Struthio camelus: one gene and its partners. The protein of the gene in region 3 interacts with the protein of the main gene of each other region in a biochemical or structural test. Links are inferred from orthologs where the notes say so. Each region holds a gene or a part of one and is shown on either strand. Other genes may lie near its edges.

The links.
Region 1: the proteins of THRB (region 3) and NCOA6 form a complex in vitro, tested with the Homo sapiens proteins (2 studies listed by BioGRID). The link is inferred for Struthio camelus from reciprocal best matches to the Homo sapiens genes THRB and NCOA6.
Region 2: the proteins of THRB (region 3) and TBL1X form a complex in vitro, tested with the Homo sapiens proteins (2 studies listed by BioGRID). The link is inferred for Struthio camelus from reciprocal best matches to the Homo sapiens genes THRB and TBL1X.

What each region holds. Positions count from the first base shown.
Region 1 is NC_090959.1:622,824-633,035, forward strand, and holds the start of NCOA6 (nuclear receptor coactivator 6), read left to right. Parts: upstream 1-5,554; 5' UTR 5,555-5,653; intron 5,654-10,212. UniProt on the Homo sapiens protein: Nuclear receptor coactivator that directly binds nuclear receptors and stimulates the transcriptional activities in a hormone-dependent fashion. Coactivates expression in an agonist- and AF2-dependent manner.
Region 2 is NC_090942.1:142,897,823-142,907,713, reverse strand, and holds the start of TBL1X (F-box-like/WD repeat-containing protein TBL1X), read left to right. Parts: upstream 1-5,362; 5' UTR 5,363-5,493; coding exon 5,494-5,500; intron 5,501-9,891. UniProt on the Homo sapiens protein: F-box-like protein involved in the recruitment of the ubiquitin/19S proteasome complex to nuclear receptor-regulated transcription units. Plays an essential role in transcription activation mediated by nuclear receptors.
Region 3 is NC_090943.1:44,270,989-44,280,769, reverse strand, and holds the start of THRB (thyroid hormone receptor beta), read left to right. Parts: upstream 1-5,222; 5' UTR 5,223-5,237; coding exon 5,238-5,565; intron 5,566-9,781.

The DNA of each region.
Region 1 (10,212 bases), on a different chromosome or scaffold from region 3:
CTTGAGGGAGAAAATACTGTATATGACAATAGCTACTTGACATCTGTAATCCTTTACGCTAATTTGAAGCAGTCAGCCCACCAGGATAGCACAGACTTCCCACCCTGGGGCTCTCAGAACTCCATCTCCCAGAAGTGGAGAGGGAGATAATAATTCCTGTGCATCCACCACCATATCTGTCAGGTTTGTAGCCAACTGCTCATCTTTCTCTTCCTTGCTGCACTCAGGTTAACAAAATCCCAGAGCGATAGTTACAGACTGGCAACAAAAGTAATTAAATCACTAATATTAGAGGAGATATTATTTTGTTCAACTGATTATGCAGTATTTAACTTTGGAAAATCTAAAACTGGTCATGAGTCTACTTATGAAAATGTCACTTTTTTCTGCACAGTATCTTTTCTTTGAAAATACTGTCATTTAAAAATCCATTGGAAGTATAACCTGAATTGCTATACTCAAGTATAGCAAGTATAACCTTGATTGCCTTGATATCAAATACATTCCTCTGTTCTGTTCTGCATTTCTCTGTTCTGTTCTGGCCACATCTGTCCTGAAATATTTCCTGTCCCAGTTGTGGTACACAGAGGCCAGGCTGGATCTGAACATATTTAAGCTACACAGTGTGGATCCAACTGTATAATAAACTCAGCTCAGCTGTGATGTTTTCTGGAGATCTGCCTACAGCTCACATCACTGCAGAGGTGAGTCCACTTGTGCATACAAGGCATCAGGAAGCCAAGGCAGTGGGGTTTGAAGTATCCTGTATAGCTCCTCCCACAGCTTCCTCAGACTGCCAAGTTCAATGGGAGAAAGTCCCCTTTCCTCCCACCACAGTCCTCTACATCACATTATTCCCTTCTTGCCACCAGCAGGCATCTGCCTTTTGGTCTCCTGCTCCATGCATTAGCAGCCAATGAGATAAAGGTCTTTCACTAGCTGCAATATACTGGAGGGTAAAACCCTCTTTTGGTTCCTCTAGCCACCAGCGTCGGACAGAGATGCCTCACCACAGTACTCTCTCATCAGGATTTTCTCACTCAGACCTGTCCTTTCACCTTGATGTCCCTTCAGGTCTGAGTCAGCTGAATATATGCTCTATCCTTCCCTTAGTTTCTTACACTCTTGGCAAAGCTGATTTACACCTCTTTGATAGAATGGGGATTAATTATAATCATGCCGAGTTTGTGTCTATTTGGCCATTTACAACAGCAAGCAGAAGCATAAGAAAAAGCAATCAGGAGAAGCATATTACAAAGTCCAAAATGGATATATGAGACACCAAGCTGCAAATGAAGGAAGAGCTTTTTCACAACCTCCATGTGTGATTAGACACAGGAAGGTTATCTACATAGAGCTTCTTAAGTCCAGATCAGAAAGCTATAGCATCTAGATCACTAGAGCAGAACTTAGTGAAATATATTAATATTGTGCCTCAGAAACTTTCAGTTTTCAGACTGAAAACTCAGTCTGAAAAATAATTGTTCTACTTTTTATTGTTTGCTACAGTGTACAAGATGTGCCCTGCATCAATGTAGATAATATATACAGAAACAAGCAAATAAAAAAAAGTTGAAGGAAAACTTTGCGTTAAGTTTGTAATTACAACAAAGATAGCAGTGTTTTATGGGAAGCATGAGATTTTTTAAGTGATCTAACTCTGTGCAAGAGTTGGTGAAATGTATTAGCCTTTTCAGGAAGATTAGGCTGTTTACAAGGAGGAAGTTAAATGCATCCGGGTTGAGAAGCACCCCTTGCAGGTATGAAGAGAAGCGTGGAAGAAAGGTAATTCTCAGATACTAAAGAAGTCTTTCAGCTTGCAGTTTTATCAGCTTCCTCATGTTTTCAACCTGTCTCAAAAGATATGAGCAGAGTAAGTCAGATTCCCAGGACAACACTATCCCCTTTTGAAGTCAGTGCTCAAGTTACTAATGTTAATCATACATATTTTTGCAGGATCAAGGTCTTTACTTTTTCCCCAAAATATTCTCTTTAGACCTTTGATTATTTTATCAGCCTTAAATAATAGTTGCCATGTCTTTCTTTGCTTTACCACCACTGGCTCATACCTTTCTGATTAAAGCAGTGACTGGCAGGAAGAAAACCAGACATTTCTGCAGTATCACTGTCTTTCGATATTATTTTAGCATTTTTCATATTAATAAAGGTTTGTAGGATAAAGAGCAAATTCCTGGGACGGTTCCATGTCTTGCAAGCTGTTCGGTGTGAGTAAATCTCTGTTGTAAAGCCCTTCTGTGTTATTGTGTCTTTTTAGGAAGTAAACATCTGCCCACATGCAAGAGGACTGCAAGACTGTGGTCCTGTTCATTAATCAGATAAATGGACTTTTAAAAAAATTCACTGTAGTGGCCTTTGCTGTATTTGAATCTTTCAGTTCTCTCTCTGCTTTCTTCCCCATCTCCCCAGTAGTAGACTAAGATATAAGTTCTTGATATTTATAAAGTCTGAAATCTTCATATGAAAGGTACTATCTGTATTCAAACTTTGTTTCCTGCTAATTTTTAGGAAAGGTATTGATTTTTCTTTATAGCTTCATCCAGGAAATACCTTTTACTAATTTCACAGAATCACAGAATCACAGAATGGTTTAGGTTGGAAGGGACCTCTGGAGATCACCTAGTCCAACCTCCCTGCTCAAGCAGGGACCTCTAGAGCATATTGCCCAGGATCGTGTCCAGGCGAGTTTTGAATATCTCCAGGGAAGGAGACTCCACTACCTCTCTGGGCAACCTGTTCCAATGCTCAGTCACCCTCACAGTCAAGAAGTTTTTCCTCAGGTTCAGATGGAACTTCCTCTGTTTCAGTTTGTGCCCGCTGCCTCTTGTCCTGTTGCTGGGCACCACGGAGAAGAGGCTGGCCTCATCCTCTTGACACTCCCCCTTCAGATACTTGTACACGGTTGATGAGATCGCCTCTCAGTCTTGCCTTGTCCAGGCTGAACAGGCCCAGCTCTCGCAGTCTTTCTTCAGAGGAGAGATGCTCCGGTCCCCTCATCATCTTTGTAGCCCTCCGCTGGACTCTCTCCAGTAGCGCCATGTCTCTCTTAATTTACAGAATTGGATACAAAGCCCACAGCCTCCAAAGTTATCACAAGTGAAGTATCAGTCATCTGAATGGTGATGCAAGGGATCTCTCCAAATGTGGAAAGGCTTTATTGAAAGCCCGCATCGTCAAACACATCTGCATACATGTTCCCACTGCCCTTTCACCTTGTGAAGGACGCATCGCTTTCACTTGCAAAAAGTTGCACTGGGCTAAGAGCTACAGTATTTAGGGCTATCTAACAGGAGTCATGCTGTCCACCAGTTTCTCTCGCTAGTGAGAAAAATGGCTTTTAATTTAGGTTTCATGGCTTAACCTGATACGCCAGCGATCTACGTTCATGTGCTGCAATGCAGAACTGTTGGATGTTTCTTTCAGTAGTTAGGGAGGAGGCTTCCCATGCTCCAAGCTCAGAAAGTTTCTCCCCTTGGGAACACCTAGAGAAGAAGCTCTGCATGTGTGGCCAGAGGAAGAGATAGACTCTCTTCAAAGAGAAAGGGAAATAACTTTTTGCCCACTTCTCTGCCGTGATCTCTGCTGAGACTCTCCTTGCCACCTTACCTGTAGGGGGGATTTTTGTCTTCATACATGTTGGGGAGGGATATCTCTGACCCCTTCCCAGTCTGCAGAAAGGAATGTTCTTCCCCACAGCTGTCCAAACAAGGAGGAATCCCTAGAGCTTCAGCAGAGTAGGGTCTAGGCTGGGTCCATGTTAGGAGGGGATTGTCTTGACCCCTAAGTGGAAGAGGCTCGGTCTTCCCCAAGAACATCTGCATGCACAGGCAGTTGCATCTAAACATGAGGAGAAACTTCTTGACTGGGAGGGTGACAGAGCACTGGCCCAGGTTGCCCAGAGAGGTAGTGGAGTCTCCTTCCCTGGAGATATTCAAAACCCGCCTGGACACGATCCTGGGCAATATGCTCTAGATGGCCCTGCTTGAGCAGGGAGGTTGGACTAGATGATCTCCAGAGGTCTCTTCCAACCTCAACCGTTCTGTGATTCTGTGATTCTGTGACTCACCAGTCCGTAAAGGCATGAGGAGGCAAGGGTCTCCCAGAAAGGGACTCTGTGTGAGAGCATCCCGCTCAGTGTGCTAATGTGTGAGAGGGTGTCCCTAGGATGTTTATGCTTGGTAGGTCATTCCCCAGTGTCTCAGTGGAGTGTGGGAATTGGGCTTTTCTCCGGGGATCTTTTAAAGATGAGGCGTCCTCAGAGAAGGAGAGGATGGTCTTTTTCCAAGATGCTCTCTCCAAGGGGTAGGAATCAAGGTCTCCCTAAGGGAGATCAGGGACGGACTCCTGAGGACATTCAGTTGTCTCTCTTTTCAACAAGGCGTACAGCCCTTCACATTCAGTAGAGGGAAAAGTGTCCACAATTTCTCCATGGGGAATCAGGCTTTCCCTTTGGAAGGGCGTGTATACAATACAGGACAGTGAGAGAGGAAACTCCCTGTGTATAGAGAAAGGAAGGGCACAAACCCACCCCACCCTGAGCAGCAGTGTGGAGATGAACACGTGCATGGAGCGGGAGTGTCCCCATCTCTAAATGTGGAACACTCTCCCCTTTGCATGTCTGTGCTGGGGACATGGGGCTGGCAGGCAAGTGAGGGAGGGTACACACAATAAGGTGCTAGGTAAAGGCTGCCCTCCCCCTCTGTGGGGGCCCCACTATGGGGGCTCCACAGCCTCTCAGAGGGGTGAGAGGATGAGTGTCCCCTTTGCAGGGGGCCCAGCATGTCCCCCAGGCTCTCAAGGGGTGAGGGGAAGAGCGACCCCTGCATGGGGGGGGGGGGAGCAACACATCTCCCAGGTTCTTGGGGGTGAGGGGACCAGCATCCCCCTCACAGGGGCCTGGCATGTCCCCAAGGCTCTGGAGGGGGAGAGGATGAGCGTCCCTTTTGTGAGGGCCCAGCATGTCCCCCCAGGCCTCAGAGAGGAGAGGATGAGTGTCCCCTTTGCAGGGGGTCGAGCATATCCCGCCAGCTCCCAAGCGGTGAGGGGAAGAGTGTCCCCCTAGCAGGGGGCCCAGCATATCCCACAGGCTCTCGAGTGTGAGAGGACGAGCGTCCCCCTTCGCAAGAGCCCACCACGTCCCCCAGGCTCTTGCGGGTGAGGAAACCAGCATCCCCCTCGCGGGGGCCCGGCACGTCCCCCAGGCTCTCGGGGCGGAGGGGTGCGCGCCCCCTCGGCCCGCAGGCCCTCGGCAGGCGGACGACGCGCGCCTGCCTCGCGGAGCGCCCCGCCCACTCCCGCCGCGGCGCGGGCGCGCGCACGGCCCGCTCCAACGCACGCGCGCGCTGGCGGCGCGGGGCGGGGCCGGTCACGTGTTCCCGCGCGGAGGCGGTGGCGGAGGCGGAGCCGCGGCCGGCCTGCGGGGTGGGTGTCCCGGGCGCTCGGCAGGGCCGACGGCGACCTCCCGCCCCCTCCCCTCGCTCGGCCGCCCCCCCCCCCCCCCCGGGCCGTTCCTCGCCCGCTGCCGTCGCGGGGCCGCGCGCCCCCGCTCGCCGAGGCGGCCCCCGCCCTCCCGCGCGCGCTCGCGGAGCGGGCACGGCGGCGGCCCCGCGGCCGCCACCAGCGGCACCAGCGGCAGGTGAGGCCGGCGCGGCGCGGCGCGGCGCGGCGCGGCGCGGCGCGGGGGGGGGCTCCCTCAGCCCCCGGCGGGGCCGGGCGGGAGCGCGAGGCCGCGGCCGCGGGGCTGACAGAGGCCGGCGGAGCGGAAGCGGCGCCCCGGCAATGTCAGAGGGCCGGTAGTGGCGGCGGCCCGGGGAGCAGGCCGAGCCCGTCGCGGGGAGGGCGCGGGCCGGCGGTGCGGCGCGGCGCCTGGGCCGGGCCCGGCGGCGGCGGCGGCGGCGGCCTCCCCCGCGCGGCGGGGTCTGCGCCCGGGGCGCCCCGTGGCGTGCGGGCGAGCCCAGCCTGCGGCCGTGCCGGGCGCCTGGGGGGACGCGCAGGCCCCGGCCTCGGGAGGCTCCGGGGTGCCCCAGCGGGGCTGCCCAGCCGGCTCGTCTGGAGAGCAGCGTCCGCGCGGGGAGCGCGGCCCGGGGCCCTGCCCGCCTCCGTGGCGTGCGGGTGCGCGGAGCTGCCTTGCTTCCCCGGTGCTGGCGGGGAGCCCTCGCCGGAGCAGGCTGTGCGCCGGGCCCGCGGTCACGTCCGGACCGCCGTGTCAGCCCGCTGCCGGCGTCCGTGGCCTCCAGCCTCTTAGGTGGACCGGCCACACGTCAGGAGGTGGCTCCTGGAGGTGGGATTCCTTAAAAGTAGCCGTGTTTCTCCCTGCACTTAGATCTCAAAGGCTTCTTCCTGCAGCTGTTGTGCTGCTGTAACCTGTGTAAACCTAAAAGTAATAGTCTGCCTTTGGCTGTGGCCTGTGACTGACTGATCCCTCCAAGGTAAAGGAGGTAACTGGCTGATTCTGCTGTGCTGTGCCAGAGTCTTTTATTTCTTGGAGGAGGAAAGTCTTTCTTGCTAATACTAGAAAGCAGTCAGAGTGCTATCAGGAACTTTATTTTTTTAACTGAGGACATGGTCTTTTATTTTAACTTCCGTGCCCTGAGCTCATGCAGGCACTGACATCATTTGGGGATGTCAGTGAAGATGCACTGACGTTTCTTTGATTGCAAACTTTTGTTTGCATTCTTCCTTATCTCTTTAAAATAGTAATAAAAAAGGTATTTTTATCTTATTCCCGTGGTTTGACTTCTGCATTTTTCTGAATTTCACTTGCTTTTTGGAACATCTCAGAAAACGGAGGGTTCCGATTTCTTCTGATGTCTTCAGGGAACAGGGGAAACGGGAAGTGGCAGCTCTCCTGTCACTCTGCTTGTTCTGGTTTTGAAAGCTGGCTGCAAATTCTAGTTTATGAGCTTTGTCTTTAACACTTCATAACCCCTCACCTTCCAGATGCATGCACGTTTGGGCTTACTACCTTTACTGAACTGTGAATAAGCTAATCTGAATTGTAGTTATAGGAAAGACAGTACCTCTTATATTGATACTTATTTCACAATTACTTTTCATTGCAGCCTTTCTGGCTAGTTCTTTACAGATATAAAACAAAAGTATCTTTCAGTATTTCACATATGAGAAAGCAACCACAAAGAACGTAAATTTTGTATCTTTCAAAAAAGGCCATCAAGACTTATTCTTCTGTAGAACTTGCAGGGAGGAGTTGTTTACAAAAGGCTTCCAACTGATGCTGTTATTTTACACTCTTCTAGCAGAGAAAAGGCTGCATCCTTTTTTTTTTTTTTTTTTTTTTTTAGTGTGGGAAACCTGGGAAAACCAGACATTCATAAACTAAGTATTCGTGTCTTAATTTTTCAGTTGCTTGAATACTTGAAAATATTGGGGTATAGAACTAAATTCTGATAAGCAATCTTAATATTGCTCTTTGGTCTTCTTAAGTACAATACCGTCAGATATTGCATACCCTTGCAGATGTTGAATACTTTAAACTGATAACTGAATTGTTAAACAGCTTTACAGTATATTTTATTATTTTCTAATACTATGTTGATTGCTTTTAGATGATAATTGTAGTCACAGTTAAGTTACATAGACACACTGAATTTATAAGATTTACAATGGCAAAAGATTTGCTACTGAAGATATAAAGGAGTTAAAATGGCTGTAACAGTTTGATTGCATTGGGAATAATGAAGTTGTATATATCGTTAGCATACCTCTGAAAGGCAGAAGGCGTGATGTTGGTGTCTGTTTCAAAATCATGTGGTCCCTATTGAGAAATACAAACCCTGTAGTGTATAGTAAATGGTACTGGTAAACAGTACAGGTCTGTTAATACGTAGACCGCTGAACAACATCACTTAACCTTGAAAATGTCTTGCATTGCACAAATTGTGTTCAAGCATAAACTCGTTTTTGTTGGGCTAGAGAGGAAATTGGGGTAAACAATATGGAGAATGGGAAAAGTTAAGGGGAGGAAATGGAAAGAAAAAATAATTCTAGACAAACACAAACTTGAGGCAGAGAGGATGCATCACCAAATCCAGGTGTGATATTTTCCATCTGTTGGCTAGATTACCAACTTTGCTTTACGAAGAGAATGGTCACCTTGTCTTTTATTTGATGTTTAACTCTACCAGTGTTACCTACTCTTCTGTCACCACCAGAATAGATCACTAGTGTTCTTTTGCAAGAAACTACATATTTTAAATAATTGAACATTTGAGCCACATGATATGTTCCTTAGTTTGTACAAATCGATAGCTGAATGCTAAGGTTTGGTTCTAGATGGTGTGTCAAGCTCATGAAACTCTTAATTGTCTAGTCTCCTGACTAATTAATAGGAGGGAAAAAGTGTAACTGGTCTGAGAACTCTGGTAAGAAAGAAGGTGCTTAGTGGACTCTACAACATTTAAGAACTGTCACCTTTTTGGAACTGAGAGGACTTTTGTCGTCTTCACAAGCTTGAATGAGTAGTCTCAAAGCATAGCCCTATATAGGGGTTTGGGTTGAATTTGTACAAAAATTGAAAAGATAGAAGAATGATGCCTTGTCTAAATGCATTTGTCTTTAAGTAAACTGATAGTTTGGGACAGAAAGTTGCCTGTATTGATTTGCGTGTGGGGGGGTCTGAATTTTAAGTTTGTAGTCTTGGAAAGTGTCTGAAAGGGAATGATCTAGACTACTTCCACTGACAGATGCCTGCTATGTAAGTTCTCTCTTGTTAATACAATTTTAAAGGTACTCTTTCAAAAACTAACTAAATAAATGACATGCCAAGACTGCTGAACTGGTATGAGATTCCATTGCTCATAATGGTGGCTGGGTAGTACTTGCAGAGATTGGATTAAATGTAGGCTTCTGTGTTCTGCATAGGTGTGCGCAGGCACATTCTCCCAAGCTTCCCATCTTGATGAGTGATGCAAGGAAAAAGCGAAGAATTAATTCTGCCTTGTAACTTCCTGATACATTGAAAATTTTAGGTTGTATAATACAGTGGTTTCCAGCCAGTGAGCAGAGAGCACATGGGAGATGAGATACAGGACCCAAAATGGTAATTCTGATGGGTCTCTGTTGACTTTTTCAGAGAAAGTAAGGAGTCAGCAATTGTATTCTCGGGACTACGGCAGTACGTGTTGAACCTCCTGAGGCAAAAGCATTACCGGTCTTCTTGGATAAGGACCATTTAAGAGAAATACTGAACAAAAATAACATCTCATGTTTTGGTTGCTGCATGGGGGTGTGTCCCTTCTAAGGGTTTTTTTGGGATGCCCTTCCCATTCCCACATGAATGAATTCCTATGTAGCTCTGTGCGTAATAGGTTTACCCGAAAGTACCAGGTTGACTATGTGGTTCTTTATAGCAGTAGTGACAATAAAAAAGACTTTTGTAATTTCATCCTGCCAAGAGCGTGGACAGACAGAAAATATACTGCAGGTTTCTTATACAGTCAGGAGGACCTCAGAACAATCTTGATTTTAACAGAAGCAATACATGCATCTTAGTATTCATTTAAGAAGTGTGTTTATTTGTTTATTTGTTTTTTGACTGGGGAAATTTTCTCCTTGACATTAGGTACACTACTCTCAAAGGAATTACTTTTAAGCTGTTTGAGGTCACTTAAAATTTTTCTTCGTACTTTAAAACATTTAGAATTTCATAGACCTTAGTGAAATTTCATAGTCTTTTGTGACATGCCTAAGAAAGAAAATGCAATAAACAAGAGGTAGAGTTTTCAGTCAAACTGAAACTTGAGAACTTGTAATCAAAAGAATACCTGATCTTGTTACATTTGCATTTATGAACTTCAGTGAGGCTTTACTGGTAGAGGAGTACCGGTGCAGTATGACAGCCCAGACTGGTTCAGTTGTGGTTAAATTCAACTTCAGGTAAAAAACTTGTCACAACACACACAATGAATAGATTGCTACTTGAAAATGATTTTTTTATGGCCTTTGGAAAACCAAGATAAAACAGTTTCTTGTCAAGATGCATCTAATCTTAAGTACCTTCTCATTTTACTTGTTCACTGATTGCACTGATGGATCTGAATGAAAAATTATGTACTGCAAAGCTCTGTTGTAGTATTAATTTTCATCTGTTACAAGCTATCATATATTTTTTCCAAATAGAAATATCCTTCTATGTGAATTTAATAATTCAGCTAATGATAATTCATTGATCAGGTA
Region 2 (9,891 bases), on a different chromosome or scaffold from region 3:
AGAATGAGCTATCATTTCTAATGACACAAAATTATTTATTACCCACATGGTGGCTGGATCTTTCATGAGATAGTATGCTACCTGGAACGTGGTTGTAAGTCTACATCTCTGGTAATTGCTGTGGATGATTGATTCAGTCTTACTAAAATAGTCTGTTTGGTTTCTTTTTATTTTGTTTATTAATACTTTATGGCCAGAGTGGCAAAACATAGTGCTTGATGCCCGAGCCTGGACTATTAAATAAGACAGTATTGAGAGCCTTGGGACCTAGCAGAGAATCTATTTAGCTATAGCAATGGACTGGAACACACCACTGCTTAAATTTCTGAACATAGCATACTTTTTGGTAGTCCTTCTTTCATAGAATGAAATCTTAGATGAGTTTTTATCTTCCAAAATGTGAATCAGAAGGGCCTCCGCCCAAAACAGTATATGGAATAATTTCCAGCCTTAAAATGTGGCAAATAAAATAGTATACTTTATTTTCTCAATTTGGAACATTTCTTCACAAGCCCGTTCTTCCTTTCTTTTGCACAAAGAGCATATTCATGTTAGCCTGTTTAACAACAAATGAGTGGAACTGGTCACTTGCAGTCCTTTTTGCTTGGGATTTGCAGTGTGTTTTAAGGAACGCAATTCTATGCATATGGAACAGTGGCTTTCATATGTGGTATTTTCCCATATTGTGGCCATTAGCAACCACTGATAAATTTATCCATACCACTTTAAAAATATGGGAAGCCATAGAGAATATTAAAGTGAATCATGACTTTTTAAGCTTGAAGAGGAGGCTTTAAAAGGAAATTGATTAATCACGGTGTTATAACAACACCCTGAAATAGGTTTTTACTAGGGTGAGCAGTATAAGATAGGGGATTAGTATCAATGCTGGAGCGCAGTAGTCTCCTTAAGTCTGTTCTGGCTCAGTAACAGGTTTGCTACATGTTAATCACTGTAAGATTTCTCAGGCTTATATTCATCTTGTCCCTAACTTGGTGCACGCGCATGCACATACACACTCTACAGACATGTACACATGAAACCCTAACCTGAATTTAATTTGAGCTTTTATTAGTTCACTCTCCTGTGGCAGCAAGATGAAACCTGCTTTAGCTACACAGTAAGGAGAAATGATGTTGAGACGTTTCCCCAGAGTTTCCCACAGTTTCTTCTTTCTACCTAGAGGGAGAAAGTAGTTTGCCACAGTTTGATATGAAAGGGCTGTGAAGAGATTTAGTGTATTGCAGTATGAAGAGCCATGCTATGTGCCTATCAGAAATCTGGGTGCTGCAGCCGGGGGGCCTAGGCAAGCATGGCTTTGCGGCACAGCTTCTGACATTCAAGCTACTCCATCAGCCAAGTAAATCCTGAATCTTCTTGGTATGGAAAACTTGCAATTTATTCATTTTAATATATTTTCTTTCTCTTCTCTTGCTATTTCTCTGTGAAAAAATAGGATGTGAGGAAATGGCAACATAGGAATTAGTCAATCTTTATGTAAAATAGAGTAGAATCAGCAATATACAGAAGCAGAAGCGTTATTAGAGCTGCAGCAGAACAAGAAACATTGCCTGTGAACATAGCGTTCAGGTCTCCAGAACAGGTTAACATAATATGTGGCATTAAACATTTTTAAAGAAATAAAGACTACACGTAATATAAATGTTGCGGCATCTTCGTCAGAATTAGATTTTGCAGAGAGTGTAGTGAGGGAGAAATGTGAAGTCAGAGAGAGATTGTTTCCATTTGCTCTTATGTTCAGTTTTCATGCACTGAATTTTATACACTGAATGAAAAATACGAGTTCTCCAGAATAATCCAGCCTTTCATTTTATTTTGCTGCTGTGTCTAAGCGATGAATCTGATAATTCCTTAAATGGGAAATTTGCCAGCTGAGAGAAACCTAGAGGGCAACAAATGGGCAGTGATGACAGATCGTCTTGAATGCTGAGAATGTTGTTTTGATTCCAGACTGTTTAAAAATATATTTGTCTAGTGGAAGGTAATGTTATACAGACAGATAACACAAGAGATTTCCTAGGTATTACACACACCACCCCACCCCCCCAGACACCCCAGCATGTGTATTTTTTTTCTGTAGGCTTAGACGATATAAATTAAAATGCTAAATCTTTCATTAAAAGAAAAATAAAGACAGGACACAAAGCAGTGAAATCAAAGCAATTCTGCCTTAAGGCTGCAGAGATTTCCTTCTCTTCCCCTGCTGTGTCTAGGTATTGCAAAACATATGGCTCACCTTTAGGGGGAGTCTCCAAACAGTGGGAGATGTTACATGCCGTATGTGCTGCAATAACTGGAGGTGCAGTAACAAGGTGAGCTGAGGACACCAAGATGACTGTATTTCAAACTCGTTGCTGGTTTACTGAGGGTTTTTTTTCACATATGTATATAGCTACAATATCGATGTGCTTTGACTTTTATAAGAGTTTAAGCCCTGGTACTAGTAGGCAGCTAAGTGTTTTGAGGAAGCTTGGAAGTGTGCATCAGGGACTCAGGGATGCTGGGTGTTAGGCATGGCGGGGGGAGGAAGAAAGGAAACCTGAGAAGGAGGACAGGTCTCTCTGCGTGTTTCCCACATGCTGTTCTGGCGGCAGCTGAATTGGCTGAACAGGCTATCGTCCCCCACCGTTCCTTACTGCACCCCTGAGATTTAATCGATCACGTAGGCACTCCCTGACCTGAGTTATTCACTGTAATCTAGGTTCGTTTAAACCCTTTTTAACACCAACTCTCTGAACTCTTTTAATCAGAACCATTCTGATCCAAGCAGTTATTCCACAGATACTGAGGGGCAGCGATGTTCGGCAGCAACGTTAAGGGAAGAGTGATTACGAGAAGCAGGGGAATAAGTTTACACCAGTGAAGATGCAGTCAGAACAAGTAGCATGACTGCAGCCAGAAATTGCAAACTACAGAGGATAAAAACTGCAGGGGAATTTAGCTGCTAGGCTTATTGCTACCTTGATAATAAAATTTAACTTTTGATGCCTGTCCCCCGAAATTTCTAAGCAGAATCTCTCAGCCTCTCAGCCCATGCTTCGTGTCACTCAGTTGAGAATTGTTCACGTAGCTCAGCAGAATGGAGAAGTCAAACGTTTGGTCGTCTTTGCTGCCTTGTAAGTTGAGAAGTAAAGCTGTACTAAAACATTATTTTCCTAAATAATTTCAAAGACTAGAACAAAAAGTGGCTGTAACATGTTGCACCTCACTAAAACACTGAATTGCAAAGCCAAACAAAATCTGTAAACTGAGAAGCAAACGGGCTCTTAATGATCCTTTTTTGTTGCTCATATCATCGGTGTAATTCTTTTTTTACTCCATTGAATGTTTTGCTATCAGGTCCTTCTTCTGTTAACGTACTAGAACGGAACCACTCATTTATAATGAAGACTGAATATTCATAAAACCCAGCTTTAGGCATCAGCATCCATATACATATACTTAAACTGGAATCAAAGTTAAGTGGTGTGAATATCCTTGGCATGTTCCATCATGAAATAGAAAGGTTCTGTTTCACTTAAAACAGCACAGTAAACATAGGTATCTTTCTGTGTAAATAGTTGTTCTCGCTTTTCATATTCTTCTCAATTTGTAGAAAGAGAGTTCAGTTCCCAAGATTAAAAGACTGACATAGCTGCTTCCATTTTGTTTTGAATGCGACAGTAGTCACACTTCTCAGATCCTGGGAAAAATAACATTTTAGTACTAACTAAAAGTAATATCACATACTGACTGCACAAAAGCAGTCTTGAAAGCTGACTGCTCTAAAATTTACATGAAGGTGCAATGTTATGTTAGCACAGTACGTGTAGATAAGACTTTAAGCAGTCTGCGTTGTAATTCAGATTATTGTCCTGATCTATATGGCTTTCAAACATACTTCAATTTCTTACTTTCATATTTGAAAAAACAGACATAATACTTGCTGAACAGAGCTAGAAGAATTTATTATATAAAGTTAGTGTACAGTTATCATTATGATTCTAGAACATACTTTACAAACTTAACTATGTCTGAACATAGCATGAGACGGATTATAAAAAATGTATTGGCTAAATCATTTAGGTAACTAGTTACTGCTAGTACTAGGATCCTGACTATTCTTTATGTGTGTCCTTTCACTAAAGTACAAACTGGAGAGTCATTAAAAATATATGAGCTTTATTAGCCTGAGTATCTCTTATTTTATTTCATCTCTTTTTCCATCTCTTAAAATACATGAGAAAATTAAAACAAAGATGGCTAGGTCGTACTGTTTGTGGTATCAGAATTGCATTAATACAAAGAACGTCACATATATTAACAGATAATACTTTAGTCAAATTCATTAAAAGGATTTATCTCAATCTCACTATGCAAATAAAGTGTTCTCATGTATACTAGTCAAGAGTGGTGAGCGTGGTGTCAGTGCAGAGGTATGTATCCCTGTTTACTCCTATTAGGCATATCTAGTAACAAGATATGAGACAGCTCATATCAACCATCAGATTAATCAGATTAACAAATCAGCTGGACTGAAACCTAGAGAAGTTATTTACTGTACCACGCAGGTGCTAATTTTGAAAGTATTCTGTTTTTTTCTGGAATTTCACTTGTACTGCAGACTCTTACGTTATGTTCAATGTGAACGAAGTGTTCAAATACACTGAAATATTTAAGTTGCTAGCCAACTCGAAGGATTGGGTTCTCTGGACCAAGAAGCTGCCAGACCAGTTCTCTTTACCACAAAGTCTGTGTGATATATGGGGTTTTTTTTGTCTGCGTATTTCAAAATGCTCAGGTTTTTCACAGCCCTATTTACTGCAGATAAACTTTTTACTTAATTTAGTGTACTTGTCTAACCAGTGTTCTCAGGTGAATTTTTGATAGCTACACAGTGTAACCTGTTAGTGTATACCATGCATTTTAATTGAGGGAAGGGTTATAAATCACATAGTTTAAGAGGTAGTAAGAATCATCTCATTTAATATAAATAGTTCTTACTACTATAGCTCTGAAAAAGCTAAAAAGGTAAAATTGAAAGCTAATTTGTAGTATAACAGAAGGTTCCTGTGTCTTCAGTCATAAATCTTAAGCTTTGTTATAGCTGCTTAAGCAGCATGAACTCTGTATGATCAGAAAGAGCATCTCCTGTTTGGTATTTTTAAGATCTGTCGGAATTCAATATGCAAGCTTGTGCTATTCCTTTTCTTATTAAGCGCCTTATTTGCTATGTAAGCAGTACAGCAGACACATATAGTTCTAATACAGAGAGATTAACACTGTAAGATTGTAGGATAATTTAGTGAGGAAGGGACCTCGGAAGACCTCTAATCCACCCTTCTGTCCAAAGCAGGGCCAACTCTGGGGTCTGACTCAGCTCCTCAGGGCCATGTCCAGTCAGGTCATGAAAAACCCCAGGAACGAAGAGGGCACAAAAATCTTCTTGCACAAATATTCAGCATCTACTAATGCTGAAGATAGTTACTGACAATGAAAGGTAAGTTTTCAAATAGACATTACATAGGAACATTCGGTTGGCAGATCAGTGTATTGGGTTGTTTCTGACATACTTTCTGGAAGAGGCATTTATTGGCACTTATAAATGCCCTCTACGTTTTTATAGTATGTAACTTTTTAGCCTGCCATGTCCCTCCGAGTGTACAGTAACTACCGTATATTTGCAGTATGACTTCAGTTACAAGTTTTATTCTTAGATGATTCCTTTTTTCTCCTCAAGCATTTTTTTCAGCCTCTGTTAAGAAAAAAAAAGAATTTAGTGCAAGTCTTTAACTATAAAGCTGCTGTATATTTGTCCCTGGCTTAAAATAAAAGGAAGAGCCTGTTTATGTAATAATTTTGGAGGTACTTTAAAGAGATTGTATTTACCTCAAGAAATAAAGAATCATTTCAAATTAGAAGTAGCGACCAGGAAATTCGACTTCCTTGACAATATTGCAAGCTTCTTCTTAAAGCATCTAAATGAAGGTAGTGTCCCATTCCCTGCCTGGCAAACACAGTATCTCCCTTACTAAGTTGATGACCAGGTTCTGTTTTATTAAAAATGACCCGAAGAAGGTTTTCCAGCACTTTATACTTCAAAATGTTTTTTAGGTTACATCTGTTGTTTAGGCTGTTTAATACCACTGCCTTTTTAAGGAGTCTTTGGAAACAGGAGTGTGAAATACTGTGTTTCATGTGAACGTATGACTGACTAGTTTGGGGGTTCATATGGTTTGGGGCAGACCTTGCTCAGTTCTCTTCTTTTGTAAAATATACTAACTGGAAGAAATGAAGCTCAGAAGAAAGCGGCTAGCTTTGAATGATAGAGAAGTTGGCTGGCTAATGCAAAAGTCACTGTCCCTGGAATTAGTTTTCCAGTTTGAAGACGGAGGGAAGGAGTGGGAGGAGAGTGCACGTGAAATTGAGATTGCTGCTCCTGGGTTCACATGAAGAACTCTCCGGCTCTCCAACAGCTTAGCTTTTAATAACCTGTTAGGTATTTTGCCAGACAGTGGAAACACCTGTGCTTGTATTTTCAGAAATCAAGTCTGGTAATGTCCAAGTAGCTGCTATTCATTCACCCCCTTCTCAGATTGCTGGTCAGCCTATGATTCTGGGAAACGCTAGCTGTCTCTCATCTTTCTGCTTCTTAATTTACAGCTAAATCAGTTTGGTTTTGATCCCTGAATAACTGTGTTTCAGTCATGAGCTCCATTGTTAGATATTTAAGTAGTCACTCTTTGGAACTGAATTTGTACTGATATCCATCTTTTCAGGTTAAAAGATGAGAGAGTGTGTAGATGGATAGAACAAGACAGAATGGGAAGATATGTAAACCTGAACTTTTTACCATGTTTTAGTTGTTTCAGAGTGAAGTGGTGTTTTTTTGCATGTTCTTAGCAGGTTAGCATTTCCTGAGGAATTCAGCTGACGGTAACTGGACTTATGTAAAATTTCTTTCTAGTTTTTGTGTGCTTATCCTAGTGCTTAGCTCTGAATTTAGAATCCATGTTCTCCCTTGGTGAGTGCAACAAAATCCAAAACACAGACAGACTTCTTTCCCGCTCTCCCTGTTGTACTGGAAATTTTCTTTTATGAGCTTTTTCTTTTAAAAAGCTTTTTCTTGTACAAATAAATGAAAAAAAAAATAGAGCATGGGTTAACTTTACCTTGTAGTATTGTTTTTAAGAGAATTCATGAGTGATAACCATCAGCTTTAAAACAAGTAGATTGCTTAGACTCCTATAAAAATACTACAGTAAGTTATTTCTTATTGTATTGCAACATCCAGGGGAAATAACCAAATAAAACAGTGTTAATACTGCAGCTGTTCCTGATGATTCTAAGCCAGAATATGGATTATTGATTGCAGTGAAATGGGCCTAAGAGGAGAGCACCTTTTCAAAACCCCTTTTCTATATCTCTCTGTATGTTACAGGCCGTTACCAGTTTTATCGCATATTATTTCCTGTCCCTTACCTTGGGATAGAAGAAACTTAAGTGTATGACATCCTAGAGATTTTTTTTCATTATTTAAAAGAGTAATAGCATTTTATGAGAATTTAGTATTTTTACAGTGTCTTCATTTCAGCAGTGGGACGCATTTGGGAAGACACCTGCAGTCCCAATGACTTCAGCCCCTGCAGAGGTCTGTTTATTGGAATTTATCTGAAAACAAAAGCCACAGGGAGAAAATGAAAGAATAGCTTACATTACACCACTGGAAACTTCTGCCGGAGAAATAAAATTTTGAACATTTATTTGTAGCTTCATGAGAATTCTTTAGCAGCTTGCAGAATGCATAGTTCTGTGGCAGTGCGCTGTTCAACTGATGCCCATCTCCATATAGCCCAAACCTTTTTTAAAATTTCTTTTGTCATCTATCATTCATAAGGATATACAGGAAATTAATAGTATGCAGAAATTTCTGCTTGAGAGCTAAGTCAGACCATCTGCAGAAGGGATACCCCTAAAACTAGCAATTGGTGCAAACTTTCCAAAATTTTTGGTTGCCTGGAACTCTTTCAATAATTTTTCCAGTGTTTGCACATTTCCTTGTTGTTTTTGGCATCATACAGTTCCCTAGTAGGTACATCTCATACGCATTTTCTGCCTGATAGCTCCAGCATTACACTTCGTGGGCTAATCAAACAAAGAACATTGTTCAGTACTGGGAAGAGATGAATGTGGTGTTTGTTTCTTCTTCTCCCCGCTCTAAATAATGTAGATTTTCCTTTGCAAAAATATACTGGATAAGTAACGAGCCCAAAGTTTGACTTGCGAAATATTGGTAGAATGGGTCCATAGTACCAGTGATTCAGTCGTCTGTCAGCCTGATAAATGGATTAGCGTAAGAGGTGTTCCAGTGGGGAAATGCAGCCCATAGGGCTTCCAGCTAATTATATTTAAGTTGTTTAGTACTGCTGGGAAGCAGCATCCAGGCAATTACTGAAAGCTTTGATGCAGCGTGCACCATTAGAGTGTGTGTTCAGAAACTCATTACCCTTTCGGACTTGTGTTGGATGGATGCTAGGAAGCCGACATGAAACAGAGAGCAGAAATCAATACCTAAGAAGACATTTTAGTTAGCTTCTGATCCATTTCCTGATTCAGCAGCTTCCAGCCTAAAGTATTTGCTACAATTGGTATAATATAAGGGGGAAGTGCAACTTGAGTGTGTTAATTATTGTATATATGCACCTCGTTGTAATAGCGTGTATGCGGAGTGCCACCAGGCCAAAGTTATCAAGGGCCTTTGGGGACGAGCCACTCCCAGATGCGCGCGTGGCCTGAGCGTCCAAGGTGCCTGCCTTATCTGTTTTTGCAGTCATTTCTCTCCAAGCCTGACCTTGCAGTGATTATTTATGCCTCTGCAACATCAAGATTACATTACTGCAGCGTCTGTCATGTCCCACCTTCAGAGTCTTTTGGAAAGTACGGCTAGTCGAAAATGAAGCTGATGCTACTGGCGACACGTATTAAACCCTGTTTAAGAAAGTTGTGCTAGCTCTGTCTTTGCTGCCTGCCGCACTTCATGTTCCCTATGCAGCTCTGTGAATATGTACCCGTTCTGTGTCGCGCATGTGTGGGAAACAGCAACTCCCTTCACGTACCACTCTTCAGTTGAGTCCATCCAAGGTGTGCATGCTAAAAATAATGCAGTGTTTGCACAACTGGAAGCCAAAGACTCAAAGCTCGTGTCTTAGGTTAGAGTGACAGGGGGCAAAAGTTGCATGAATCTAACTGTTTTTTTTTAAAACATGCACTTACTTTTAAATCAGTTAACGGTGATTGTTAGGGCAATGTAGAGGGGGCTACGTTACTTCTTCCCTTCTGTTTCTTTTGCCTGAGGTAGGGTAGACAAAATAGAGGATTTACAGTTCAGTGGTTCTGAAGGGGGATAGTTCTTTCTCACCTACCTGAAGTATTGCAGATTTCACGTTTGGATACTTTTCCCTTTTTTTCCCTGTCACAACAATCCTAGATGCACTGTGCTTTTCATCTCGTATTTCATAAGGTTAAGCAGAAATCTCATGATGAGTTACTATGAAGAGCCAAGTATTTCCTTTTTTAATCTGGACTTGTTAATTAGAAAAATACCATTTGCTTTGCCTGAGGGTTCGTAAAATAAATTCTGTGCTAATTGATATGTGTATATTTCTCTGATAAATAATTACCAGAAAACTATGAAATGCTGTTTTAAGCTGCAACATCCATGAATCATGTGCGGTGAAAAATACTCTTACTGTACCAAGCATTTTCAGTTTTGGTACCTGCCTTGGTTACTGTCAGACAGCTGGCTTACTGCAAATTCATTGCTATTGCCGAAAGTAGCTGGGCTTTCAAATAATGGTAGAAAACTCATGTGTCTGCAGTCCCTGAAACAGT
Region 3 (9,781 bases):
CCATAAATACAAAAAAAAGCAGCTATTTTGTAACATGTAGAAATACCTATTATAAACTAGGAACTGACAATATGAGTGTACGCAATTGCTAGAATTTAGAAAGGTATGTTTAATCCTTGCAGCTACATGTTCCAACGTGCAGAACTGTTTTTGACTAAATACTGTATTTTTCTCCATCTGTATGTATAAGCATAAACACAATCAACATAAAATCCTTCCATTTAGTCCTTCGAGAACTCCACTCTGCCCTATATCATTTGAATGCTCTTTAATACCTCCCCCGAATGGATATTGCAGCACCTTTTAAAAATAGTGTAGGGGCCTTACCTGCAACATGGACGTAGCCAATACCATAGACCAGAGGTGCACAATTTAGAAACAGTCAGGAGAATATAACTCCTCTGGGTAACAATGCCACTTGCACAGTCACACAAGTAGCAGATGTACACAACAGGGGTGGACTGTGTGGAATAACGCTACTTTTGTGTGTGTCAGTGACCTGGGTTGTTTGGGGTATTGTGTCAAGGGGATCATCCAAATAGGAGTACTGCTTTGTCTTAAAATTTCTGCGGGTTAATTTTGTTATTTTTTTGATCAGGCGAAGTCACAAGAGAAGTGCAACTTTGTGGGGCGTTTGATTGTTTGCAATCAAAAGTTTTAATCAGAGATTTTTAAAACACGAGTCCCGAAGAGGTGTATGTGCTGTTACAAAGCGGTCTCCCTGCAGAAATCTGGTTTCAAGCAGTCAAGGCCTGACTGCAGTTCTGCTTCACTGGCTTCGTTGCACTCACTGCTGATGTACTCTGAGGTGGATATTTCAAAACCTTTGGGGGGCACTCAGAACTCCTGTTTAGCAAATACCTTCTGGTTTTATAAAACAATAAACTGAGACCTCAGACAGTGAGGGATGCAGCCTTTGGATCCTCTTCTGCCTCCCTATCAAAGTTTCTGTTTTATCACTGGCCTGTTTGTCCACACCTGAAGTTTTATTCTGCCAGTGATTAATTTCCGTGTATTAGCACAGTCAGGTACTTGAGAAGTACTGAAATTCCGAATGTGATGCTTCAGTGCTGAAAGCAGTGAAAGACTCCAGTATTCAAGTCAGAATACAAGACTGAAACAACAATTGTATGCACTATTTTCTAGTCCACTTTTGGACTTTAGGTGAAGACCCCATCTGACTGTCTTTTACCAGATGATTTAATGCAAAGTGATACAGGAAGAGGACCCTCAGAGGTTCAACTGAAAATACTCCAGGAATATTTCAGTTTTAATAATGATACTAAATCTTTGCAGTGTTTTTGGAACTGATTTGTTTCCAAGGGAGCAACAATCTGCAGTGCTATAAACCTCTTGGATGTTCCAGGTGAGGAAACCTCATTGCCTGGCAGTGTTTATCATTCATTTTTTGCCGGAAAAGACTCTCATCCACTTTACTTTCTCATTCTCCTCAGTTTCTTGTAATGTAATTTCCTGATACCATTGCAGTAATTCGGAGAAAAGTAGTACATACGACACGTTTCTAAGTGTTATTGACATAGCATTAGAAAACAAACAATGTTTGAGGAGTTGATCTTAGAACCGAAAAGAATTCACATGCAGTCCCGTATCATGATACCATCTCCGCCAGGCACCATGCTGCCTGCGACTGCTCTGTCTACGTACATCCTCAATTCTTTTTAGTTTTTGGATAACGAAACTAAGTCAAGTAAGTGGGAAGAAGAACCAGAGGAGAGAAAATTCTTAGGAAATTTGCCTCATCTGGCAAAACAAATCCACAAGGTGAAAAGGACCTGGTGAAAATTTCCAGCTTGGTTCCCAAAAGCTTTTTTGGGTGGTGTCAACCACCCGGCAGTCGAAGGGCGGTCGGGCACTTTCTGAGGCGGCTCCGTGCTGCGCAGGGAAGGGCTGTGGCCGATAGAGGTGGCCTTTTGCGAGGTTCGGGTCCGTTCTCATTATAAGCTCTCGCTCGGAAAGCAGCCTATTCTGCCGGTCCCCAGCGAGCCTCGGGCTCCACGCGGGCAGGGCAGCCCCCCGCGGACACCAGGACAACGCGGCTGCCGCCGAGCTGCGCGGCAGCCTGGCTCTCCGTGGCTCCGCTTATTTCTCTTCCTCTTCCCTGGCGCGGGGCTCCATTAGTCTGGAGGATGTTCTTCGTCAAATGGGCGATGTCATGTCTTTGTCACCGAGTTACCGAGTCAGTCCTCTCAAAAATTGACCCCAGGGTACAGCTACCGTGGTGCATTTGGAGTCCTCCCATTCCTCGCAGTTGCCTCTCCAGCACTGGTGTCACCCTGGAGACTGACGTAGACCAAACTAGCAATTTTGCCTCGAGGTCATCTATTCCTTTTTATTCTTCAATAAAAAGGGGTCCTAAACAAAATAAAAACTGCAATGTGCTAGGCAATTGTGACCTGCTAAGTGAAAGACAAATTTCTGGGACTAGATCACCCTCTGGTAAGAGTACCTGGCTGTTCTGCTGGGCTAACCTGTGAAATACAGCCTCGCCTGTATGCAAGCTCGCACATAAATTCCTGTTAGCTGCGGTGGAGATCGTTCTGCGGTAAACGGAAAGTCCACTTACCCTACCTGTAGAATGTTTTCTTTCTGGGGAGTATGGAGAATTAAGCTCGGCAGGTTACGATTGTGTCGACATTACATTTGTATGTACTAGCATTACCAACCAGTCACATAAACAGGTAGGTTTTGGGGGGTTCTGTGTAAACGAGCATTGCAAAGTTTCTTAGGAAATCTATGTCAGTTCAGATCTTATTCTCACAGCAGGAAACTGTGATAAAAGCGTGACATTAATTTAAAATATTTGTGAACTCATTACAAATCTTAAACAGAGAATGCACTTCTCTCTTTCTAAAAGCATTTCTGGCAGATCTTAGTTAATACTTTCTGACATTTGTTTTCAGTTTGTTATGATGTTTTTTAATAGAAGATTTTTTTTCTCCTGGAAAGTAAAAGAAAATAGGCTTTTTTGTCTCTGAATATATGAGTAAGTGTAGCTGATGATAAAAAATGCAGTGCACAAGCAAATCACCATACTTATAAAGGTTCTCAGTAACTGAGCACTTACTTACCTTGAGACAGGGGCATGATTTTTATGAAGCGCTGCAGCCATTCTTGAAAAATCAGATCTTGCCTAAGACATGCTTTTTTATCTCAGACAAAATCACTGTTTGGAAAATCTAGATCATAGACTTGAACTGAAATGAAAATTAATTTTCGATGTGTGCGTTATCACAATATATTTCACAATGCTATTTTGTTGAGTTAGGTCTTCGGTAAAAACAACACTGAGAATGAAGGTTCATTTGTGTTTCACTTCTGGGATTTCAGTAAATACTTACTGCTCTTAATGAAGTAAGTTGTTACTTTAAATTGCAAGAGTGTTACCGCAATAACTTCATTCTGGAAGTAACTTCATTGAGTTTAGTAAAATTGGTCTCGATGGAGATCATTTTGACTTACCAAATGCATTATTATTTGGTGAGGCAAGGTAGTAAGAGTTGGTTTTAAAGATGCTTCTTTTACAGTTAGGAAACCAAAATAAAAATAATCCAAGAGTAAAATTTAACTTCCAGTCCTCAGAAGCAGTTACCCTGTGATCTCTTAGCCTATATGTTAGATGCTAATTGCCAGTGCTCATTATTTAAAAAGGTTAGTTATGGTTGTGCGTTAGAAAAAGAGAGAACACTAATTTACGGGCTCTTTATATTAGTCTGAAGCATTTGATAATACCAGCTCGGGAGAAATATGTGCATGTTAAATGCTGAGTCTTATGAGTTTCACAGAATTTTGAGGACCATTGGAGTTTACGTTCAGCTAGGTTGCTAGAGGTATACTTAAAAGCCAAGAAGAAAAGGGGCCAACATACAGGTAGTTTTGGCAGTCTGTCATCTCGAGTGTTGTTTAAAATGAGTGAAAGAACAAAATTAAGACCTCATTATTAAATCAGTAATTCTGCTTCCTAATAATAAGAACAGACATTAAAGAGAGATACCATTTTGTTACTGATTTCACAGGAGTTTTACCCTATTTATGCTGTGCTGCAAAGAAAACATATTTTAGCTAGTAAAAGCAAGGCAGCTATTATAATATTAAAAAATCCTTTTAAATAAAAAAGAATGGGCGATCAAATATGATATATTAACCACACTGATGTTTGGAGTGTGTAAAGCAGTTATAAGATCATATAGTATTTTATTTTAATGGCATTGAAATGTACATAGCTCATACGAGAGCCAAACTGAGCAAGAAAACCTCCTGGCTGTGCTCAGGTTGTTGATGCAAAGGATACTTTTTTTAAAAGTTCTTTGTTACTGAAACATAAAAGATCATGAAACAAAATAGCAAAACAATTAGTTTGCTGGTAATATTTAAGCAGTGTCCTTTTTGCTGATTAAATCAAGTCATTTTGAAGTTTCCCACCTGTTGAACTAAATAGAAATTATCTCCCCAAATCACTGAACTTTAAAAAAGCTGCTTTCCGGTAAATGCATTAAGAGGCAGTAGGGAGGATTGTATATGTGTGGAAGGCTGGGGAGATTCATGCATGTAATTCTGTAAAACAAAATCAATAAAGCTGATGACAGATTAAGTTGCTAAATTTTGTAAAACTAGACTACTGTTTGGGTCATCAACACAGTGCTATTGGATTTTCTGTGGTTTAATGCTGAAAAACAGGATTATTGATTTTAGGATTTTCAGCGTATCCCCTCTGGGAGTTCTTAAGCAGTCTTCATAATGCTTCACACTTAAGTTGACAACTACAGTGACATAACTGTGTCCTCGCCTTAATAATCATTTTCTAATCATATTGCAAAAGGCTAGAAACGGTTTATAAAACGATTATTGCGGACAAACAGTGGAACAGGAGGGTTGTCGGGACGCCGCTCCTTTGTCTGGTGGCCATTGCTGCCTGCCTGCCATCTTCCCTTGGAATTAACTTACAGTCACAGATTAAGACCTTTGACTGTCATAAATCTGCTTCCCAATATGTTTGACTGGCAGGGGAGTTCACAAGCCATGCCAATATAAATAGGATTTTAGCACATCAGGTGCTGCTCCAAAGTGAAACGGGCTGTTTTGCAGTCGACTTTGTTGGTGTTGTATATTCATTGCTCCTTTCCCGTTCCATGTGTATGCATGCCTGTGTGTGTGTGCGTGTGTGTGCGAGTGTGTGTGTGTGTGCGCCCGTAAAGTAGGAGCCGAGATAGGGTAACAAAATGAACTACTGTATGCAAGAAATCTATGAAGTGCACCCAGCTGCTGGGAGCAATTGCTACATGCAGTCCACTGATTATTGCACATATATCGAGGATAATCAGGGTTACAGCAGTTGTGATGCTCAGGTCCTGCACGGTAACAACATATATATGGAACAGGCCTGGGCGGTGAATCAGCCTTATACCTGTAGTTACCCTGGAAACGTGTTTAAAAGCGAGTACTCTGACATGGACATGGCCCTGAATCAGTACAACCAACCTGAATATTTCACCGAAGAAAAACCTACTTTTTCTCAAGTGCAGTCGCCATCGTACTCTCAGAAGAAAGGTAGGGGCAATTTATTTAAATACCAAAAAAAATCTGTGTTTTTGTTTTTGTTTTGCTTTAAACTTACAGTTGCATCACTTGGCTCAGATACATCTTTGAATGTGAAGGCTGCCTGTTCAAAATTGAAAGCAGCAGTAACATAGGTTGCTAGGTGATTGTAAGCTTTTCTGTGAACGATGAGGATTTCCAAGCACTTTTTCTTAATTTGTAAAGGACGTTTGCAAATATATTGCTTGTTTTCTGCTTTTTGTGGCTATTAAGTCCATTTACTGAACATCAGTGAGCTAGATAAGAAAGTTTCTCTTCTGAAATGTCGTCAGTAAATATTCTTCAGCTTAAATCTGTTTTCTGCTTCCACACAAACAGTCTGTGTGAGTCCTCATTATCACTAAATGTGAATTCTCTTTACTGAATAACTCAGTTTCAGGCAAAATATGTTGAAAATAGAACTGCAAGTATGTATGGGAAAATGATTACATTTAATAGAGTTGCTGTCTTGTAAATGAAAACCGTGTCGTTTCTGATTATGCAAAGCCAAAAAGATAGGACAGTCGAGAATATAGCTCTGCAGTAAAGACTCTTCTCCATCCAAAAAGTTGATCTAATCAGTATGTTTGTGAGAGATAATCAGAGAGTGGTATCTGTTCCCTTAGGATTAGATCACTGCTTGTTTTCAGAATTTCTTCTTTTGCTTTCAAGTAAGCAAAGCAGGTATCACTTCTCAAAAAAATACTAACCACCACTGGAAAATGTTCTCAGTGTTACTTGTTCTGAAGCCAGACAATCAAACTGGCACATGTAGAGTATGTGTTCTCCATAAAAGTGTATTCCCTTAAAGTCACTTGAATAAAGAACAAAAATACACAGTCTGTTGTACCAATATAATATCCTTTTTCTCTTAAGACCAAATTTCCTGTATGCAGTTACTCAGAAACAAAATGAATCTGATTTAACTAGCTAGACAGAGAACGACACCATTTACTTTTTTTAAAGTGCCTTTGTAGTCAAAAGTAGCCTGTTTAATCATATTAACAACATAGAAAACTGAAATATTTTCCCTTGTGAAGGAAACGCTCATTAGCACCTGGTGCAATAAAACTGTATGTTCAGTAGAAAGTATCTTAATCTTGTACTTTGAGCAGTATTCATAATAAAGGGACTATCAGAAAAATAATCCTGCTCTAGGAAGCTGTAGAGAACATGATCAAATTGTAGACTAAATGTAGTTGTGCATAATGTGCTTTTTTTGTATTTTGTAGCATTCTAAAGTCTTCTTTAGGCTAATTTTATACTATTGGATTTTAATCAATAAATTTATAACTCTTCATAGACTTTTCCCATGTGTCATTTTGGTCAAAAACTGCTACACAGGATTAACTTCAAGAAGATGGAGACTTGCTATTGCGAAGTCAGTGAAGGAATATATATTTCATAATGCGAAAGGATTTTAAATGATAATTGCTGTACTTAGGTCAGAGCTTTAAATGAGTTATTCCAGTATTCAGACATCTGATACATTTAATGCTCTGTTTACAGTTTTTCTACTTGCTTGTTGAAAGAATACAGAGTTATTTTTAAAAATTGTTTGCCTGCTCATGTTTTTCATCTACCTCAGTTTCACTTAAAATTTGCAGAGAATTTTCTTGGGAGCAGTCACTCGAGCACACTTTTAACTGATCATCCACAGAGACTGAGCAAAGTTCCTTCGGCTTCTTTACAGCCGTCATTACTGTGATAATCCATAAAGAGTTGCGTCCCTTCTGTCAAACCTTTGCAAATGCTGACTTTGTTAAGCAGAATAAATCTAAACAGTGTGGGACATGTGCATCTTCTCTTTCTTTTTTTTTCTTTTTAATTTCCATCTTTTACCCAAGCTATCATAAAACTAACGAATCTTTTAATCCCGTCCCAAGAACAGAAGGCTCTATACAGGGCATGTGTGCCTGTATTGATCCAGAATTGATTTGGGGGGGGGGGAAGAGGGAGTTTGTTAGAGAAGCCTTGGTAATAGCCCATTAAAGCAAAATTAAGTCCCTGAGCAGGTGTCCATGAGGAGTCTTGATTGTTGCAGTTGGTATTTCTATTAGTCCCCTGAAACTTGTGATAATCTCAATACCATTCATGCTGTTCAAATCAGATTGTACTTTACCGTAACACAGGGAGGTTCTTCATGTCAAAACTTCTGCTAGTTTTAAAGGGATCAAAATCTTCTTTAGTTTCCCCTCCAGGAAGATAAAAACATTGTTTTATATGCTGAGAAAAGCTAATGTTTACGAAGGGGAGTTTAATTACTTCTGTATCTATATGTCACTTTGAGAGAATTAAGGAAATAATGAGAATGAAAGACTCAGACAACGTGAGTGTTGCTAAAGGGAAAAAAATCAGTACTTAGAAAGTATAGCCAGATGTTCCAAAACTACAAGAAAACACTTAAGCTACTCCAGATATCACTGTACATTTAAAACTATTATTTCCTGATTTTCAGTTACAAATTTTGATGAAAGATTTGAATATTAAGGGAAAAAACTATGCTCCAGAAAAGCAGGCATGGAAGTGTGGTTTTAGTTTGGCATCTTGTTGTTCTGTATGTTCTGTGCTGTACTATACATTATTAACAGGTAGGAGCACAACATTCCTACAAGAGCTTACTATTTTATTAAAGAAATAGCTCTGGACCCTGGTCCTAAAAAAATGACAGCCAGATATACTTTGTCTCTGTATGAGGCTGTCAGATCTAATGGGCAGAACAGGGCTGATGCTCATGAGAAAGAGGGTGCTATTCCCAGGTCTGTCCCAGAGAGCTACAGGAGAAATAGTTGCAGAGGTCCAGAAACCTCAGTATCCCCGCTCTGGGTATGTGCGCGGTGTTGTGGCCCTTTGGACAACAGAGGAAGTAGGTGTGCAAAATTAAAGCTTTGGTTGGAGGTCACTTCCCTTTGTACAGTTGTTTCATGGACGGACTTAACTGTAAAATGCCCACTGATGTCTATGAAATTAGGCTTTACCTTCAGGCTCCATGGAGCCCTAAGTAACTAAAAGCTGCCCCCAGAAGTAAGGGTTCGCAGGTTTCTTGAGTCATGCTACAGCAGTGCAAGATACTCAAACCTATTTATCTCTTTTTCCCGCCCCCCCCCCCAGGTTTAAGGGGAGGCTAAGGCCGTGTTTTTAAGGGCCCTTGGCATGGTAGGTGAGTGAGTGGGGCTTTCAAAGTTATTATTGTTATTATAATTGTAATTATTATAATTGTAATTATTATAATTGTTATTATAATTGTAATTGTCATTATTATTTCTCCTTGTATTTTCTCTGGCAATTTACATGCAGCTAAGAATACATACTGTATAACTGCTAGGGTATGTTAGTGAGTTAGTCCAAACTGAGGTCTCAGCAGTGTGAAAACGTTAGGGTATTTTCTGAACAGCTAAGAAAATACAGCATGGAGGTTATGTCAAAATGTCTCCTTATCAGAGCAGTGAGTGTAAATTGAGCATATAGTCCATTTACAAAGGAGACTGATTATTTGTCATCTTTGGTCTTTGCAGAAGTGTAGCTCCCAGTATGGTAACAGTTTCCTTTTGTCTTAAAAAATGATTAACTTTTGTAGAAGGTGCCTTTGACTATCCATTTAAGGAGATAGCTGTAATCAGAAAATTGACATTATCTTATTCAGCAAATCAATATGTATTTGGAGTTCTATCTGTTTCATTTTAATAAAAATTTTGTCAGTGGAAAAGGTGTTTTCAGCTCCTTTACTGTAGCCCTTGTAGAACCAAATGAAGGATGGGAGAGTAAGTGAGGTTCTACTTTGCTTTTGCTTCAGCAGTAAAACTGATGTTCAGTAAGACTTAGATTTCTAAGGGAGTAAGTTACTTGTGATACTCAGGCATGCTCTTTGAAAACATTTAAATACTTTTGCAAATGTTATGTCCAAAAAGCAGAATCCTTGATAGTGGGAATGCATGAATGAAAAAAATTGCATGGTCCGACTCTTGAGCATTATCTACAGTAGTGCATTTTGTGCCTACGGCTGGTAATGGATGAAGTACACTAGTGATCACAACAGTTTAAATGACAATGCAGGTTGGCCTAAAGTGTTTTCAAGAGCACTGGTGCCAAATGCACTACCCCGGTAAGGATTCTGACTCAGCCCAAGGATTTTGGGTTAACACAGAAAAGTCATAGTGGGAAAGTGACTATAAAAAGTGTCCCAAATCCT